Oryctolagus cuniculus: one gene and its partners. The protein of the gene in region 1 interacts with the protein of each later gene in a biochemical or structural test. Links are inferred from orthologs where the notes say so. Each region holds a gene or a part of one and is shown on either strand. Other genes may lie near its edges.

Region 1 (4,229 bases):
TGTGCGCGTGAGTGCCGACGGCGTGCCCGTGTGCCAGGCGGAGCTCCCGTTACACCTCACAGGCCCCCCCCCCCCCAAAGAGAAGCAGGCTGGGAGCAGACGAGCAATTTACTGGACACCAAGTGGCCGGACAGGCCCTGCCTGGGTCCCACCTACGGACAATTCCACAACAAATGGTTCCGGGGACGACTGGGCTGCGTTGCCAGCGCATCCAGACACAACCCGAATTCTTTTTTTCTTTTTTAAATATTTACTTATTTATCTGAGTTACACAGAGAGAGGAGAGGCAGAGAGAGAGGTCTTCTATCCGATGGTTCACTCCCCAATTGTCCACAACGGCTTGAGCTACGCCGATCAGAAGCCAGGAGCCTCCTCTGGTCCTCCCCGTGGGTTCAGGGGCACAAGCACTTTGTCTTCCACTGCTCTTCCAAGCACATTAACAGGAAGCTGGATCGGAAGTGGAACAGCCGGGACTCGAACCAGCGCCGCAGGCGGTGGCTTTACCGGCTATGCCGCAGCCCAGGCCCCAACAACCCGAATTCTCATCCTGCCTCCGCCACTCTGTGATGACACTGGTAACTCTGTGCTTCTCTCTCGTCATCCATCAAGTGACGACAATACCCCTGGGGGACTGGCGGCCAGGGCGGGTTAAGGCCAGCATCCCGCACCCAGGGTCCGGCTCGGAGTCCCGGACGCAGCTCCCCGCTAATGCGCCCGGCCAGCGGCGGAAGGTGGCCCGAACGCTTGGGCCCCCGCACCCACGAGCGGGACGCGGATGGAGTCAGGTTCCTGCTCCCGGCCTTGGCCAGGGGTTGTGGCCACCTGGAGCGTGACCCAGCCGAGGGGAGATGTCTCGCGCTGCTACTCTGCGTCTCAGCTAATTTATTTAAAAGGGGAGCGCACCCAGCGTTTTGCGCAAAGGCGGCGCACATTCCTTAGTGACCCAAAGTGGCGAAGAGAACGGCTCCGGCTCTAGCACCCGTTACCCTTGGGTGACCTCTAACCTCCCTCTCCGCCCTAGGGTCTCGAGGGGCAGGGCCGCCCCACACCCACTTTCTGCGCCTACTGCCCCGCCCCCTTGAAAACGCAAGGAAGCTACTACTAGCCACCCACATGTAAAAGTTCCTCCGAGACCTCACGGGAACAAAAGCGCATGGCGCTCAGACGCCCCGCTAACCAGACGCTACCACCAAGAAGCCCGCGCAAACCGCGAACGCCGGGCGCACCCAGAGCGCAGGCGCGCGGATCCTCATGCCCCACCCCCTTTTGAGTCGACCAATGAGGGGCGGCGTCCGGGCGAGCGCGCGACTTCAGGCGATCCCGCGGCCTTCCTCGACCGCATCGCGAACCGGGACGTGAGACGGCAGCAAAGCGCGCCGGAAGTGCGTCATCTGCTGCGCGCCGCTGGCGCGGAGGGAAGGAAATTGGCTTCGGAGCCGCCTGGGCTCTGTGGGGAAGGCCGCGGGCGGCAGCTGCAGCTTTGTAGACAAGCTGAGGGCGTCACGATGGGAGACGAGATGGATGCCATGATTCCCGAGCGGGAGATGAAGGTCAGAAACTGGCCGGGGCCGCCCTCCTTGCCTTAGTCCCGGCGTTGCCTCCGCGGCCCTAGCCCAGAACGGCGAGGCTCGGATGCCGGCTACCCCGCCTCCTGCGTGAGCAGCTGACCGCGTTCCGAGTTCTCGGCGCGCCCACGAGCGCTCTGCTGTGCGGTCGGCCTGATGGCCCCTCCGGGCGCGGTTCCGCCGTGCCGTGTCGGTCTTGTGCAGCTGCTTCTGTGGCGGTGACTTTATTGAGCGCTTGCTGTGTGCCGGGCACCGTGGTAATCTCCAGTAGTTAGGGTACAGGAGCAGGTCGAGGCTGGGGGAGTGATGTTCCCGAAGGCCCAGGGTAGCGCGGGGTCAGGTGGCCAGGGCCTGCCTGCCGTAGAGCCGGGGGACATCGTCCTAGGGAGTGCGCTCGGAGGACTGAAACCAGCCTGAAGTCTGGGCACTGAGGGGCGGGCCGAGTGGTCCGAGCGATGGGAGCCCCCCAGGAACAGCTCTCAGCGTGGCGCACCCCGCAGTTTCCACGTGCGTCCTGACAGAACGAGGATACAGAGCGCGAGCTACGGGTATTTCAGACAGCCGAGGGGGAGCAAGTAGCAGGAAGCTTTTAGCCCTGTGAACAGCAAGTCCCTGGAATGCACTTAGGGGAGAGAGAGTCTTCCATCCGCCGGTTCACTCCCCACATGGCCGCAGTGGCCGGAGCTGCGCCGATCCGGAGCCAGGAGCTTCCTCCAGGTCTCCCACGTGGGTGCAGGGGCCCAAGGACGTGGGCATCCTCCACTGCTTTCCCAGGCCACAGCAGAGAGCTGGGTGGGAAGTGGAGCAGCGGGGACTTGAACCGGCGCCCGTACGGGATGCCGGCGCTGCAGGCGGCTGCTTTACCCCAGGTTTGGCCCCGACTGTTTTCTTATTTCGCTCACACTAATGAACATCGTAGCACCACAGCTGGGACGGTTCTGCATCTCGGGGTTCTGTTTGTTTTTGCTGCACTGAAATTGAGCCTGCTGCAGTACAATGATGGATATGATTTCGTTTTCCCTGAGTTGGTTCTCGTTTTGAACTCTCCTGTGCTCCTGATCCTGACCCACTACGCACATGTCACCGAGACCCAAAGAGGTACTGGAGATGATCCAGTTGAGAATTACTGGGCCGGCGCTGCGGCACAGCGGGTGAAGCAGCCGCCTGCAGTGCCGGCATCCCACATGGGCGCTGGTTCAAGTCCCGGCTGCTCCAGCTCCCATCCAGCTCCCTGTTAATGTGCTTGGAAAGTCTCGGAGGGTGGCCCAAGGCCTTGGGCCCCTCCCTCCCCTGTGGGAGATCTGGAAGAAGCTCCTGGCTCCTGGCTTCAGCCTGGCCCAGCCTTGACTGTTGCGGCCATCTGGAGAGTGAACCAGTGGATGGAAGACCTCTCTCTGTCTCTCAGTGTCTATCCTGTCTAACTGCCTTTTGAATAAATGAAAGAAAAAAAAAAACAAAGATAAGAATTACAAAAAAGACTGAAAAACTTACTCTCCTGTATGAAACCATAATACAGGCTTACCTGGAAAACTGAATTTTTGCTACTGTAAATCAGTTGGGATTAAAAGTATGAGGGTCTCCAGAAATTTCATGAAAAACAGTTATGAAAAAACTGCATGGATTTTGAAATTTCTTTTGGACTAAAATCTTTTAGTTCTTTTTTCCATGAACTTTGTGAAGTCCTCATATTTGCCTTCTAGCAAATATGTATAAACATCAAACTTAGTCTGTGGGCTGTGTTAAGAATCCTGTATGAAACAACACTAGGAATCTAGTGTGGGGCTGGCGCTGTGGCACAGCAGTAAAGCCACTGCATGTGAAGCCAGCATCCCATATGGGCGCCAGTTCATGTCCCGGCTGCTCCATTTCCTATCCAGCTCCCTGCTATGGCCTGGGAAAAACAGGAAGATGGCCCAAGTCCTTGGGCCCCTGCACCCACCTGGGAGACTGGAAGAAGCTCCTGGCTCCTGGCTTAGGCCTGGCCCAGCCCTGGCTGTTGTAGCCGTCTGGGGAGTGAACCAGCAGATGGAAGACCTCGCTTTTTCTGTCACGCCTTCTCTCTAACTCTGACTTTAAAACAAACAAATAAACAAATCTTAAAAAAAAGAATCTAATGTAGAAGAACGAAGCCCAGGAAAACTCTTTGGCTTTCATATTTTTGGGAACACCAGCGCAGAGTGGATTCGCATTTTTTTTTCCCCCGTTTTGTGTGTTTAATGACACCTGGCCGTGCGCTTCTGCAGTGGGGACAGCTGCTCCCCTGCCGCTTCTTGGTCTCAGATTCTCCTCATACTTGCTGAGCTGGCGGTGCACGGCGCGTGTCCAGGGGTCGCAGGTCCAGGGGCTCCTACTTGCCCTTGTGGAATTTCCTGAGGTTCTTCTGGGTGTGGTTCATGACGGTGAGAACACGGGGATGGCTTTGGAGAGCTTGGACGCCGCGCACCTGTCACTTTGGTGACCTGCGGGTCCTCCGCTGTTTCAGCAGTGTCGCCTTCTTGCCTCGAAGGTCCCGAGCCTTGATCTCGGCCGTGACTGCACAAGCCCCACCCCTGCCGCTGCTCTCAGGGAAAGAGGAAGAGAAGGGCTGACCTCCGCAACTGCTTCCGGGTGGCCCTCATTCTTTTCTCTAAACTCTGACCTGAAGATAGGTTTAGAGTTGAAGAA
Region 2 (3,515 bases), on another chromosome or scaffold:
TATCCTCACATCACACGACACAGGACCCTGTGAATATTTTAACAACCCTCCTTTCCTGAGGGTGTCTGTTCCTCTAGTCCCAAATATTTATTCCCCTAGTTTGCATGCAGTATAAATTTATTGTTAACAAGTGCATGCCAACAATGAAAACTGGAAATAACAGTCTGTATCTTGATATGGTATAAGTTTTTCACAGTTTGTCATTCACATTAAATGTGTCAAGATGCCACTGTGTTTAACTTCACTAGACAATGAGGATACAACCTAAAATTCCTTTTAAAACACTCCATATGAGAAAATCATTCAGGGAATTTACTGCCTGAAGTTCATCAATGTTCAATGTAAAAATTTGTCTAAAATGTAAATTATTAGAATTTCTTCACTAATTGACTGTTGAACCTTTATAGCAGCACTGTAACTCCTGCTGAAGTCAAGTTGGATATAAAAATGAAGCCTCCCTAACAATCCATTTTCTTAGAACTTCATTTATAAGCTCTATGACTGTGTTACCTTTTTCTTCTTCATCTGTGTTCTCTGTATTAGCATTGGTCTTGACAACAGCACCTTTATGAGACACAAAATGACCATCAATCAAAACCATATCCCATAATCAACAGCTGTGGCAATTCAAATTCTGACACTAGGGGCCGGGGCCAGTGCCGTGGCGTTAATAGGCTAAGCCTCTGCCTGCAGTGCCGGCATCTCATTTGGGTACCAGTTCGAGTCCCACTTGTCCTGCTTCCAGCTCCTTGATAACAGGCCTGGGAAAGCAGCAGAAGCTGGCCCAAGCATTTAGGTCCCTGCACCTGTGTAGGAGACACAGAAGACGCTCCTGGCTTTGGCCTAACCCAGTGGGGAGTGAACCAGTGGATGGTTCTCTCCTTCTCTCCAACTCTCTCCCCTACTCTCTCTGTATCTCTGCCTTTCAAATAAATAAATACATCTTTAAAAAAATCTATTACACTATAAATGTAAAGCCCTGGAGAAAAAAAATTAGTTAGGAAACCCAGACACTGATTAAAAAAATTTCAAAGTTTCTAAATCAGCTAAGGTATGAAACACTGTTGCTTCAATTTCAATTATTTTTTCTTTTTTTTTTTTTTTTTTTTTTTTTTTTTTTTGACAGGCAGATTGGACAGTGAGAGAGAGAGACAGAGAGAAAGGTCTTCCTTTGCCATTGGTTCACCCTCCAATGGCTGCCATGGCCGGCGGGCTGCAACCAGCGCACCGCACCGATCCGATGGCAGGAGCCAGGTACTTATCCTGGTCTCCCATGGGGTGCAGGGCCCAAGGACTTGGGCCATCCTCCACTGCACTCCCTGGCCACAGCAGAGAGCTGGCCTGGAAGAGGGGCAACCGGGACAGAATCCAGCGCCCCGACCGGGACTAGAACCCGGTGTGCCGGCACCACAAGGTGGAGGATTAGCCTAGTGAGCTGCGGCGCCGGCCTCAATTATTTTCTATTCCAGGTCCTCCCACGTTACTTCAAAATCTAACATTTAGTTCTCTCATAGTATCAATATCTCCAAAGTATTACAGAAAGATGATTATTAAGTCAATGATCAGAAACAGCCGGCGCCGTGGCTCAATAGGCTAATCCTCCACCTTGCGGCGCCGGCACACCGGGTTCTAGTCCCGGTCGGGGCGCCGGATTCTGTCCCGGTTGCCCCTCTTCCAGGCCAGCTCTCTGCTATGGCCAGGGAGTGCAGTGGAGGATGGCCCAGGTGCTTGGGCCCTGCACCCCATGGGAGACCAGGAAAAGCACCTGGATCCTGGCTCCTGCCATCGGATCAGCACGGTGCGCCGGCTGCAGCGGCGGCCATTGGAGGGTGAACCAACGGCAAAGGAAGACCTTTCTCTCTGTCTCTCTCTCTCACTGTCCACTCTGCCTGTCAAAAAAAAAAAAAAAAAAAAAAAAAAAAAGAAACCACCTTGATGCTCAACAGTGGAGTATCTATGCAAATCACACAATGCCATTAAAATTCTAGGTGTATAAACTGCTAATTAGTAGAAACTTAAAAACAAGTTATAGTGATGGAAAAGTATTATGTGAATTCAGAGTAGGGTAAATGCCAGATTTCTCCCCTGTAATATTAAATACATCAACAAAAATTTGGTGTTGAGCCTAGACTTTTGATATATTTTGATAGATTTTGATATGATTTTAGATAATTAGAATAGGTAAACTCTCAGGTTACTCATAATCATTCCAAACTGATGAACATTTTAAAAAGTAACAAATAATAGTTGGCAATATAGTGCCAAAGTCTGGAATAAATTTAATAGTTTATAAACCAATTAGGTAGGCTCATTCTTATAATAAGCACTTTGTGATTACAATCTAGTTTGTTAATTCCCAAATGGAAAGACTGCCAGTATCTGCCAGTCCTCTGGTACAAATACAGTTTTTTTTTTTTTTCTAGGCAGTTGTTATGCCCAAACAGAAATACTCAAGGAAATAGCATTTGTTTTCAAACTAGCTTTTACTCACCATTGGCATCCGGTTTGATTTTCTCGTCCTTAAGATGCAAGTTGCTCAACTAAATGGAGAATATGGAGGGAGGAAAGTGTCAGGAGAGTCACTTACAAGATGTTAAAGTCAACAGAGGCTTCCCAAGAAACAGGGAGAAAACAGCCCCTCTCTCAAGACTGATTCTTAGGTTGCTATTCTGGGTTCCTTTTGTTTGCCAAATGACTGAATGAAAATAAACAAAAATGCCCATAAATGTAGTAAGAAAAAATGATTACTGAGCCGCTTAAAATCCATTCTTCCTAATTATAACCCCTAGAGAGAATTATAATTGATGAGTTTGCTTAACTCCTGATTACAAAGACTCTCAGGGGAATATCATTGTTAGAGTTGTCACTCCCTCACAGTCCAAACAAGAGGACACTGAAGATATCCCAAAGAATGCAGTCACACTGCAGACACAGCCAAGGAGGGAGCACTGCACTGACAGCACCCGCAGGAGGGAAGCAGTACAGTGCAGGACTTGTTGAAGCCACGGCACACAGCATGCTGACACACAGCCAACATCTAAGTCACCTTATGCTTCGTGTCTCATACTCTTAACTGGAAACAGCCCCGAGGATCACTGTGTAATCACAATACTCACCAGGCTGAAGTCGGGATAGAAAGGAAGAGATAGATCAGAGAGGCATTTCAAAGAAAGGATTCTTAGGACTTAGATCAAACAATGGGAATTAGGGATCTCCTGGCAGGACTCCTCTCTCCCCTGTAAGAATGCAACTATCCTGGGGCAGGCATTGAGACATAGTACATGAAGCTTAAACAGATAACTGCATCCCAGCTGCTCTGCTTTTTTTTTTTTGACAGTGAGAGAGAGAGAGACAGAGAGAAAGGTCTCCCTTTGCCGTTGGTTCACCCTCCAATGGCCGCCGCGGCCGGCACACCATGCTGATCCAAAGGCAGGAGCCAAGCTTTTCCTGGTCTCCCATGGGGTGCAGGGCCCAAGCACTTGGGCCATCCTCCACCGCACTCCCGGGCCACAGCA
Region 3 (3,515 bases), about 220 Mb from region 1:
CCCACGCCTGCTGGCGAGACCACAGCTCTGGTCACATGTCTTGGGGAACCCAGGTTTCTTCTCCAGGGAGGGCCCAGCTCACAGCACCAGGCAGAGAGATTGCAGGGCACCAGCCCCCATGAGGCCTCAACCTCAGCATGTGCCGGAAAGCCCAGGCAACAGCCTTAGGCAACTGGATTATGAGAAAGGGTCCCTCTTGGCACAAAGGCAAGAGGGGCCATCACAGGACAAAGGAAGAGAAAGTTGTCTTAGCAGGAAGTTCCAAGTGGGGAGGGCTTTCTCAGCCCAAGGACACCAGGCTCTAGGCCCAAGGCAACCCCATTTATGGGGCACATAAGAGACATCTCCTAGTCAGAGCACAAAGGGGAAATGTCCTTCCTGGAACAATAGGGTGGGCAAGTTCCAGAAAAGGCTGCGTTCAGGGAGGAAGGAGAAAGGCCAAAGAACCAGCAAACAGGCGGTCAGGTGAAAAGCAAAGGACAGGGGATCTCAGGGCAAGGCTGGGAGACATGGACAGACGAGAGAGGAGCACGTGATCCTCCCAAAGGACAGGTGGTTCCAGCTCAGGGCTGCACATCTCCTGCAGACGGGCACTGGTCAGGGTGCATTAGCTCAGCCTCCCAGGGGGTGAAGGTCCCCAGGAGGGAAGACAGAGGCCACAACTGACCTGATGTAGGTGGACTGGTCTCGGAAGGTGTCACACAAGGGATTTCCATCAAGCCACAGCTCTTCTAGCTTCAGCCCTTTTATCTTGTCTAATTCTCGCTCAGACTTCAACTGCAAAAGATGGGAAAAGAGGGAGGAGAGAACCTGGTGAGACATCAGTTGGACTTCACACCTCCCATCCCGACTCTCATCTCTTGCCTGTCGCCATCACCGGGCAAGCCCACTATGTCCTCTGGCCACCCCATCAAAAGCACAGCCAGCCCGTCAATTCTTACTTCATTCCCGGAGAGGTTTAGGATCTTTAGGTTGGGTGCCTTCTGTACCAAGGTGGACATGTCATCCAGTCTGAACAGCCTATTGTCACTCAAATTCAAGGACAAGAGCTATAAGGGAGAAAAGAGTTTAGTGCTGCTAGTGAGTAGATCAGAGGCAAGTCTGTCGCTGACCCCATGCCATCGATCCCTCGCTGCTTCCCACGCCTGATACTGGTCCAAAGGCCTCACCTCTGGAATATTCTCTTCAATGATTCGCAAGGCAGCTGCCATACAGCTTCTACGATTCAGTACAACATCGATATTCTGGGCCAACAAATCTTCAGGAAGCAGAAAAGAAAGCAAGAAAAATCTGAGAGGACTTGCCCAGGCCAGCGGCAGCACTAATCATTCTTCAACATTCCCTCCCTGACAGAGCCCCCTTACGTGACCTGTCTGAGTTACTGCTGCCAGCCGTACCTGGGTCTGAACGCAGGCCCTTGAGATCCAGTGCTTGCTGAGAGCCGTCATAGCGTTTGCTCATGATCACCTACAGAGGAACCAGGGAAGAGTTCGGCCATCACAGGGACGGTGGGTATGGGGCTGGGGCATGCGAAGTGGGAAGACTGGGCTGCAAGCACACGTAACCTGAGCCAGCCCTACCTTCAGCTGCTCTACTTGTTCTGGCTTCAGTTCACTCTGCACAGTGAGGGGTGGGGTAGAGGAGTTGATGAAGATGGATATCTGGAGGGAGGACAAAGGGCAGAGTAAACGCCAGGGAAAACAGCCCAAGGACCAATCCCCACCTCCAGTCCAACCAAGCTCTTTAACATACCCTCTTGTTCTCCCTATCCAGAATTTTATAGTTGATCGCCTTCAACGCAGAGGCAGTACTGGCATCCTCGACAAAAAACTGAGCCCGTGTGTTCTCATAGTGAAACTGTAAGAAGAGACAAGAGCATTACTTAATCTCAAAGACCAGAACCCCTTGTCCAGATGACCCCTCTGCCCTCCGTGGTGCCCAGCTAGTTGGCCACTCAAGCCCTGCTTTACCTCAATGGGAGTGAATGGGACACTGCACTTGCTCTGAATCATGTTCAGGAGCCATGACTTGTCATACTTTCTGCCATGAGGAATCTAGAAATGAGAAAAGGAGAAAAGATGGAAATTCTATACAACTAAGACTGAACAGCACACCCCATATGGCATTCCTTATGTACTTTCTGCCAAACCTTAAAAGTTTTTTTAGGGGCTGGCACGGTGTAGTGGGTAAAGCCACAGCCTGCAGTGCCAGCATCCCATAAGGGTGCCGGTTCAAGTCCTGGCTGCTCCACTTCCAATTCGGCTCTCTGCTATGACCTGGGAAAGCAGTAGAAGATGGCCCAAGTCCTTGGGCCCCTACAACCACATGGGAGACCCGGAAGAAGCTCCTGGCTCCTAGCTTTAGATAGGCACAACTCCAGCCATTGCGGCCATTTGGAGAGTGAACCAGTGGATGGAAGACCTCTCTCTCTTTCTCTGCTTCTCTGTAAATCTGCCTTTGAATTAAAAAAAAAAAAAAAAAAAAAAAAAAGGCCGGCGCTGCGGCTCACTAGGCTAATCCTCCGCCTAGCGGCGCCGGCACACCGGGTTCTAGTCCCGGTCGGGGTGCCGGATTCTGTCCCGGTTGCCCCTCTTCCAGGCCAGCCCTCTGCTGTGGCCAGGGAGTGCAGCGGAGGATGGCCCAGGTGCTTGGGCCCTGCACCCCATGGGAGACCAGGAAAAGCACCTGGCTCCTGGCTCCTGCCATCGGATCAGCGCGGTGCGCCGGCCGCAGCGCGCCGGCCGCGGCGGCCATTGGAGGGTGAACCAACGGCAAAGGAAGACCTTTCTCTCTGTCTCTCTCTCTCACTGTCCACTCTGCCTGTCCAAAAAAAAAAAAAAAAAAAAAAAAAAAAAAAAAAAAAAGGTGGGGGCGCCGGCACTGTGGCACAGCGTTTAGTTAAAGCCCTGGCCTGAGGCGCCGGCATCCCATAGGGGCACTAGTTCTAGTCCCGGCTGCTCCCACTTCCGATCCAGCTCTCTGCTATGGCCTGGGAAAGCAGTGGAAGACGGCCAAAGTGCTTGAGCCCCTGAACCCATGTGGGAGACCAGGAAGAAGCTCCTGGCTTCCGAATGGCATAGCTCCGGCTATTGCGGCCATCTGGGGAGTGAACCAGCAGACAGAAGAACCTCTCTGTCTCTACCTCTCTCTGTAACTCTGTCTTTCAAATAACTAAAATAAATCTTAAAAAAAAAATAAATCTTTAAAAAAAAAAGTTTTTCTAAAGAAAAGAACCAATCATAGGGTTTTCACTTGAGACATATGGATTCCTTAACCTCTTTTCTGTCTACTTACACACTTCTTATTCTTCAAAACAATAAGTTGCTTGATCTAAGTTTTAAGATTTTTTTTTTTTTTGACAGGCAGAGTGGACAGTGAGAGAGAGAGAGACAGAGAGAAAGGTCTTCCTTTGCCGTTGGTTCACCCTCCAATGGCCGCCGCGGCCGGCGCACCGTGCTGATCCGATGGCAGGAGCCAGGAGCCAGGTGCTTTTCCTGGTCTCCCATGGGGTGCAG

Evidence for each region.
Region 2: the proteins of NUP214 (region 1) and ATP-dependent RNA helicase DDX19B are reported together in a solved structure, tested with the Homo sapiens proteins (2 studies listed by IntAct, with this or other methods). The link is inferred for Oryctolagus cuniculus from reciprocal best matches to the Homo sapiens genes NUP214 and DDX19B.
Region 3: the proteins of NUP214 (region 1) and NXF1 form a complex in vitro, tested with the Homo sapiens proteins (4 studies listed by BioGRID and IntAct). The link is inferred for Oryctolagus cuniculus from reciprocal best matches to the Homo sapiens genes NUP214 and NXF1.

Annotation. Positions count from the first base shown.
Region 1 is NC_091432.1:233,660,826-233,665,054, forward strand, and holds the start of NUP214 (nuclear pore complex protein Nup214), read left to right. Parts: upstream 1-1,417; 5' UTR 1,418-1,505; coding exon 1,506-1,550; intron 1,551-4,229. UniProt on the Homo sapiens protein: Part of the nuclear pore complex. Has a critical role in nucleocytoplasmic transport.
Region 2 is NC_091449.1:56,898,318-56,901,832, forward strand, and holds part of ATP-dependent RNA helicase DDX19B, read right to left. Parts: intron 3,121-3,515; exon of another isoform or gene 3,047-3,120; intron 2,541-3,046; coding exon 2,492-2,540; intron 565-2,491; coding exon 511-564; intron 1-510. UniProt on the Homo sapiens protein: ATP-dependent RNA helicase involved in mRNA export from the nucleus.
Region 3 is NC_091432.1:8,792,420-8,795,934, reverse strand, and holds part of NXF1 (nuclear RNA export factor 1), read right to left. Parts: intron 2,055-3,515; coding exon 1,971-2,054; intron 1,858-1,970; coding exon 1,753-1,857; intron 1,662-1,752; coding exon 1,581-1,661; intron 1,468-1,580; coding exon 1,398-1,467; intron 1,259-1,397; coding exon 1,170-1,258; intron 1,050-1,169; coding exon 942-1,049; intron 778-941; coding exon 668-777; intron 1-667.